2 linked regions of the Oreochromis niloticus genome follow. The protein of the gene in region 1 interacts with the protein of each later gene in a pairwise test. Links are inferred from orthologs where the notes say so. Each region holds a gene or a part of one and is shown in the gene's direction. Other genes may lie near its edges.

Region 1 (3,750 bases):
AGCATTTGTGTTTGCACAAATACTTCTGGTCCTATAGAAGTTCATAGAAAAATGGGACTTGTGAAAAAATTCTGAACTAAGTACAGAATTTTCTGTTGAGTTTATGGACTTGGGGTCATATTGAATAGAACATTAAGCTTTCAATCATATCAGATTTCAATCATTCTAAGATTCAGAAAGAGAGGTTTCCAGGGTATACTTATTGAAGTGTATGGTTCAACAGTCAGATCACTTGTCACATCCAGTTTACAGATGCCAAGACGGTAACAGTGAAAAATCTCAGCTCAACAAATCAATGTGGGATGGTATTGTCCCTTCATCGATCTTTTATACTTTAAACTAAATTAAAACAAAGTTTTCCTTGTTTTTCAGTTTGCCATTGGATCTCTCATGGATGATTATCTGGGTAAGTTATTAGACCACAGTAAATTGTCAGATGGGTCATAGATCTGCTTTTTTTGTTTTTGTTGTTGTTGTTGCTTTAGTTTGGTTATGATTATTTGTACAAAAAAACCCCAACAACAAACAAACAAAAATAATGGTGTATGGTTTTTTTAAAAAAAAACTTAAAATGTACCATCTGTATTTTGTTTCAGGTCTCGTGAGCTGATTTTCTTCTGAGGAGCATGAAACAGTGGGACTTTATTGCATTGTATCTCAGTTTGTCTGTCTTATAATTACTATTTTTCTACTGTTCTGTAATAGAGACGGGGGCCAAGCCCTATAGGCACATCATGTTATTATGCTGTACAGCCTACATTTTTTTTATGGAAATGTTGTAAGAGTGTTAACAAATTTACTTAAAAATTGCTAGCAAATAGAAGTATCCATATTAGTAGTGTTTATGTTATTTTGAATGCCCATCATTCCTACATATTTTTTGCTTTAGCGTGTGCTGTAATAAAATATTTAATTTGTTCTTACATCCCTGTGTCAGTGTATGTTTATCTCCCTGTGTTAGTACCTTTACAAGTGGCATTTGTAGCTAAGTTTTTAAGTCATGTTCGAATGTTTTGAAATGTGACCAGACAGCTTTATCCATGTCGTTGAGAAGAATTGTGAACGCGGATATTTCAAGAACGCGCACGTCACGTGGCCGTAAATACGTCAGTGAAGCGCGCCGTCGTTCTTTCTTTCTCTCGTCCTGAAGATGGCGGCAGGGGTGAGTAAGATGGAGAGGTGGCCAGCTATAGTGCTTACTTTTAAGTTTCCTGCTGCAATCCGCTAAAAATCAGATGCATCTGCCCTCTTACTGAGTAGCTTTTCACACAGTCATTGCTTTCTGAGTGTTTTCTAGCTTTTATAGGGGATATTTATAAACAATGCCATTCAGTATTCCTCCTAACTCAGGTTAGCTGTTGCTAGCGATGCATTGTAAGTGGAGGACTCCGCTCTCCTAGCTCAGGGTTGTGCCACGTTACCTTACCTATTCATCACTTTGAAAACCTCCTCTTCGCATCTCACGCTTTTTTTTTTTTTTACCTGAGGTTAGCTCTACAGTTGAGTTTATTTAGTCTCAATTCTGCCGTATATTTAAAATTATTCTCCGAAGTTAAGCGACTCGGGGTTAAGGACCAACTTATTTGACAAGAGAGCGTTTTAAGCCACGTGAAAATTGTTTATTTTAGATAACTGGTTAACAGAAATGCAGTCTTCCGTGCAAGTCAGCATGTATTTCAGTTTTGATGCATTTCAGCTTCATCATTCTCCATAACCTAGTCAGGCAGATTTTAATTGGTCGACCCTTTTAATTTGGATGTGATCCTTTTATTTGTGACCATAAAACAAATTAAATGCTGCCTCTTAACGGGTTTGATAGCTTGCTTACCAATTTTATTGAAGTTTACATGCCTTAATTAGAATTGGAAAACAGACAGAAGGCTGTTCAGGACTCAGTATATACATTAGTAAAACACCAGGCTATTTCCTGAAAGTCATTCATAGCCCGATCAAATGGTTAGACATCCAGCTTGAAAAGGTGTGGTGCATATATATGCAGTTTGCTTTTAAAAACAGTTGTCTGTAACAATGGTGTTGTCTTCCGTCCTTTCAGACTCTGTACACGTACCCAGAGAACTGGCGGGCCTTTAAGGCCCAGATTGCAGCCCAGTACAGTGGTACTCGCCTCAAAGTTGCCACGAGTGCCCCTGCCTTCACCTTCGGGCAGACGAACCGTACTCCTGCCTTCCTCAACAACTTCCCTCTGGGCAAGGTAAGTACAGCTGGCTTAATCAATTCAATGAATCAGTTCCCTTAAAAATGCAATTTTGCTTTGCTTTTAGAGCCTCCCTTTTTTTCCTTCCCACACGAATATGGTTGACTCGTTATTTGTCAAATGCAACTTGTGAGCTGGGATTGAACCAGTTTGACAACACACCCTTTTGTTATGTTTCGTAGCCAACAGATCTGCACATGCACTGCTTTGTTCTGACTAAAAACGCATTGAATGTGTTCAAATAAGTAGTTCTGTCATTGTTTGTAGGTACCTGCCTACCAGGGAGATGACGGCTTCTGTCTGTTTGAGAGTAATGCCATTGCTCACTACTGTAAGTCTCACATTTAATAATAATTAAGTGGCTTGAATTCTACACTCTTGTTTTAGAAAATTCCTCAGGGATGCAGTTAATTCGGTCTAGAATTTTTGATGGGATAAAGCACTCAATCAGCAAAACATTTAAATTCACAGGACATTTCTTGACTCAAGGGTTTATCATCATATAGACGGGTCAGACCACACTGCTAGTTATATCTATACAGTCTTACCTGTAGTGTATCATTTCATTGATGTGTATCATTTCATTGATGTGCACAATGTATGATAATTAAGAAAATCTTAAAATGCTGAGGTTGTACTATAAAAGTAAAAAAAAAAAAAAAATCAGAACTACTGTGAAACCATAACAGCAACTTTCCTTTTTAAAATCTTGCGTGCGTAGTGAGCAATGATACCCTGCGCGGTGCCACTCCTCAGGCGGCAGCCCAAGTGCTGCAGTGGGTGAGCTTCGCTGACTCAGAGATCATCCCTCCTGCCAGCGCATGGGTCTTCCCCACTCTGGGAATCATGCAGTTCAACAAGCAGGTATACAGCTCAGTATTTCTTAGTCAAAACAATAGCTTCCTAGATGACTGCACCCTGTTGTTGCACCTTGGTACTGGAAAACAAGATTTACAGTAATTTTTCTTTCTTTTTTGTTTTTCAACTGTCCAGGCCACCGAGCAGGCCAAGGAGGATGTGAAAAAGTTCCTTGCTGTGCTGAACCAACACCTGAACACCCGTACCTTCCTTGTGGGAGAGAGGGTCACCCTTGCAGACATCACCGTGGTCTGCTCCATGCTCTGGCTCTACAAACAGGTTTGTCACAGATGGCCGCACCTTGCGGTACCTTGGAGCCTAACGGCAACACTTTAGCTCTGTCATGAAATTTGGGGAGGAAGCTGCACCAGAAGCCATTAACACCTCACTGTTCCCTGTAGGTCCTGGAGCCTTCTTTCCGTCAGCCCTATCCCAATGTGACCCGCTGGTTTGTCACCTGTGTTAACCAGCCACAGTTCAAGGCTGTCCTCGGAGAGGTCAAGCTGTGTGAAAAGATGGCTCAGTTTGACGGTGAGTCACCAGCAGTTAGATCAGAAGGCATACATGTTAGACAGCAGGTCCCTTATAAACTCGTAGCCTAAGTGTCTGAAATGTTTAAAAGCAAAACTCCACACCATTGTTGTTTAAATGATAGTTGGAAAAGCTGCATTCACTCC
Region 2 (3,750 bases), on another chromosome or scaffold:
CAGAGGCAGTGCTGCGTTCAGGTGCTCTTCAGGGTTTGAAGGTCAAACACCGAAACTTGTGAATAAAACTTCTTTTTTTTCTGCTGTTTTGTTTGTGTGAAGCTGCTCTCTGATTGGTCGGCAGTTTGAGTACAAAAATCTGTTTGATAATAAAAGAAAATAGAAAGCAGACGAGGTGTTTGAGTACAGGAAGTAATCAGCTGTCTACTGAACGTTCAGGAAACACCTGAGCTCACCTTCATTCACTCTGGAGGAAGAATCATGGGCACGGCCAAAGCCTGCATTCTGTCTGAAGGCCACCAGGGGGCAATAGCTGTGGTAAGGCAGCTTTCTGACCTTTGACCTGTGTAAAAATATCCTGCTGAGGTTGTGGGCTCAGTTTTAGGTCACACTGGATTTCAAAGTGGTGAAGCTGCATGCTCATTGGCTAATGGCCAGGAACCTGCTCACTCCAACCACTCGACAGGTTGCAGTCCAGGGCGTTAGTCAGTGAGCATGTGGGTTCACAATCAGGCCCGCCCCTCCTTGCCACCTTCAGGTTTTTGCAGCCAAAGTGGCGACCGTGGAAGCACCCATCATCAGGTGACATCCCTGAGGCCAGACTGTATAAGAGACTGTAACATTACTTGCTGCCATGTTTGTTTCCGGTGGTGACCATATTTGGAGGACAGGGTGGAGTTGTCAGCCAGTTGTCTACTAGCTAGCTAGCTTAGCATACACATACACCTTATCAGTAACATCCAATCAGAATCCTTACATGGTCACAGCAGCAATCTTATTGGTCAGATAATGTCATCAAACACAGTTCAGAGGTCTAGCTCAGAGACTCCAGTTAGCTGAGGTGAAATCTAGCACCTACAGCGAGTTTTGTCACCATCTACCTGTCAGTCAGAGGCCACACCCCTATCAATGCAAACAGGTGAGTTAAAAATGTGTTCTTCTCCCTTCTGTTGAATCCAGTCATTGTTGCAGTTATGAAGGGGAAATTATCTACAAAGGCCAAAACATTTGAATTTTAACACAGGAGTCTATGAGGACTGACTCAGTGCTCCCTCTGCTGAATGCTGGAGGAACTGCAGGCTCGGATGGTTTCAGCGGGCTCAAGATCGGTTTGTTAGTTTACTCTCTGATGTGTTCAGGCTGTTTATCTCTCAGCCAATCAGCTTTCACTAAATAACTACGCTGTTGTGCTCCCAATCACGGCTGCAGGTCACCAATCATAAAGTCATTATTCATGACATCATATCAGATGTCACTGCAGTCACGTGAGCTCATCTGATGCTCCTCAGGGCCAACACCTGATACATTCATTAAATCCTGACAAAAACAAACATTAAGGCCTAATAAATGAGCAATCACTCATCAATAACTACAAATGAAAGGCTTTAGAAGCTTTTATTTTGAAGTTTAATCTCAGCAGAAGTGCTCCCTCTTATTGTGAAAGCGGCTTTGACGCTGGGTACGGCGGCTCGCAGGGTCCAGTCCGCGCGCTCCCGCTGACGATGGGCGACGTCCTGTGCGAAGAGCTCGAGGATTTGGTCCACTTCTCAGTGCACGACCTGCCGGCACGAGGTTTTGTCGTCATGGAGGAGATCCGACGTCAGGGGAAACTCTGTGACGTCACGCTCAAGGTGAGCGAGGCGGCGTGTGAGGCTGACATTAGCCTCCAAGCTAGCAAAGTGAGCTAAGGCATGCTAACAAGCTAACGCGGATTATCAGATAGTGACGTCATGGGCTGACCTGTGAACTGCCTGGGAGCCCCACAGGCAAGGCGGCGAAGCGGCTTCCGGTTAGAGCGGTCAGCTCTTAACACCGGGGCTGGAGGTCAGGTGTGTGATCCACCTGGGGAAAGGTAGAGGTTGTGTGACGTGCGCAGGTGAGCTCAGGCAGCACAGAAGGGGCGGAGCCTTTTAGCAGCGTTCTGGCGTGTGCAGGTGAGCAGACACGTGATTGCTCTTTGTTCCAAACATGTCCGCCAGGTGAGGGAGGGGCGGGACCTTAACTCTAACCCCTACAGCAGGAAGAAGCTCTCGGTGGCTCCACCCCTCCCCATCAGGGCCTGGCTCTATGGTAGCAGTTAACAGAGCTGGGTGCTCATTGTCAGCATCACATGATCCAGGTGTGCTTCTGAGCTGTTCAGAGGTGTTCAGGTGCGACTGAGAAACATTTTCACCTGTGCTGCGTCCTGTGCCTGCAGCTCAGCATTGATCCTCTTAACGGCTCAGTAGGCAAGGTGCTGAGTCTGCAGCTCAGGTGAACCCACGTCAGAGGCAGCTGTTTTCCAGAACTAATGGTGTCCTCCGGATAAAGCAGCACATCCTCACCTGTCCACTTTCAGGTGACCTGCAGAAGTTTATAGGAAGTCAGACCGATTCAATGATGCAGGCAGACTTGGCTGGTTGGATGAAGGACTTTGATTGGTTGCGCGTTAAGCTGAAGCTAGTGGAAACATCATCGATGGCGCCAGCTGGTCAGCTGACAGAGTTAAGCTGAACCCTGAAATCTACTTCCTGTTGAAACGCTTGTGTTTCAGAGGGTGAAGGAACGCAGCTTTACCTTCATGTAATGATGTCTGCCGTCATCATCTTGTTGTTTTACCTGATAAGTGAGGGGTGGGGCTTAATGTGAAGCCATAGTCTTATTGGCTGTCTAGCGAGGAGTGGTTCTGTGAATGTTTAAGGGCAGTAAATCCAACACTTCCTGTGACACATCCCTCAGATGTAGCTGTTTTCAGTTTTTTATTGTCGTCATAGCAACAGGTGAGTCACAGGTGAGTCTGTTAATCAGCGTGTCTGTCTGCAGGTTGGGGATCACAAGTTCAGCGCTCACCGGATCGTGTTGGCGGCCTCCATCCCGTACTTCCACGCCATGTTCACCAACGACATGGTGGAGTGTAAACAGGATGAGATCCTGATGCAGGGCATGGACCCCAGGTACGCTCACACCTGTACAGATGTCTGAGAGCAGAATTGTAACTGGCTTGTGACCTCGGCAGAGGTGGGACAACCTCAGTAACATCAATGTCTCACTGTTTTCCACTAAAAGCTTCCAAATGTTGCTTTAACACGGACTCGGCCTGATATCAGCTGTGGTGACGGTCATGATTACAGTTAGCTTGAATTTAACTTTTTAACAGTGTTTCCTGAAAACCCTCTGCTGTCTGATCATTTCCTGATAACATTTACATTTACAATAATTGATTACACAGCAGTGGAGAGTAGACTTTATCACAGTAGATGTCTTTCTGAAAGTGCTGTAACTAAGTTTAAGAATATAATCCACCCACTGTTATCATCTTCAATGCCCTGTACCAACATAGAGCAGAGCAGCTATCTGAACGCTACTCCAACAGAGGTCGATTATCTTGTTAATAATTTTACCTCCTCACTACGTACGACTCTGGATACTGTAGCTCCTGTGAAAACTAAGGCCTCAAATCAGAAGTACCTGACTCCGTGGTATAATTCTCAAACACGTAGCCTAAAGCAGATAACTCGTAAGCTGGAGAGGAAATGGCGTGTCACAAATTTAGAGGATCATCATTTAGCCTGGAGAAATAGTTTGCTGCTTTATAAGAAAGCCCTCCGCAAAGCCAGAACATCTTACTATTCGTCACTGATTGAAGAAAATAAGAACAACCCCAGGTTTCTCTTCAGCACTGTAGCCAGGCTGACAAACAGTCAGAGCTCTACTGAGCCAACCATCCCTTTAACGTTAACTAGTAATGACTTCATGAACTTCTTCACAAAT

What was found.
Region 2: the proteins of eef1g (region 1) and klhl18 interact in binary tests that used the Homo sapiens proteins (3 or more experiments, as listed by UniProt). The two-hybrid records come from large-scale screens. The link is inferred for Oreochromis niloticus from reciprocal best matches to the Homo sapiens genes EEF1G and KLHL18.

What each region holds. Positions count from the first base shown.
Region 1 is NC_031966.2:22,178,657-22,182,406, reverse strand, and holds the start of eef1g (elongation factor 1-gamma), read left to right. Parts: upstream 1-1,019; 5' UTR 1,020-1,150; coding exon 1,151-1,162; intron 1,163-2,053; coding exon 2,054-2,212; intron 2,213-2,482; coding exon 2,483-2,546; intron 2,547-2,936; coding exon 2,937-3,079; intron 3,080-3,208; coding exon 3,209-3,352; intron 3,353-3,474; coding exon 3,475-3,604; intron 3,605-3,750. Other genes in the region: polr2g (DNA-directed RNA polymerase II subunit RPB7), read left to right, coding at 373-406, 597-610. UniProt on the Homo sapiens protein: Probably plays a role in anchoring the complex to other cellular components.
Region 2 is NC_031982.2:34,541,544-34,545,293, forward strand, and holds the start of klhl18 (kelch-like protein 18), read left to right. Parts: upstream 1-1,392; 5' UTR 1,393-1,502; coding exon 1,503-1,631; intron 1,632-1,660; exon of another isoform or gene 1,661-1,934; intron 1,935-2,095; exon of another isoform or gene 2,096-2,110; coding exon of another isoform or gene 2,111-2,119; intron 2,120-2,156; exon of another isoform or gene 2,157-2,338; intron 2,339-2,344; exon of another isoform or gene 2,345-2,376; coding exon of another isoform or gene 2,377-2,484; intron 2,485-2,802; coding exon 2,803-2,933; intron 2,934-3,750. UniProt on the Homo sapiens protein: Substrate-specific adapter of a BCR (BTB-CUL3-RBX1) E3 ubiquitin-protein ligase complex required for mitotic progression and cytokinesis.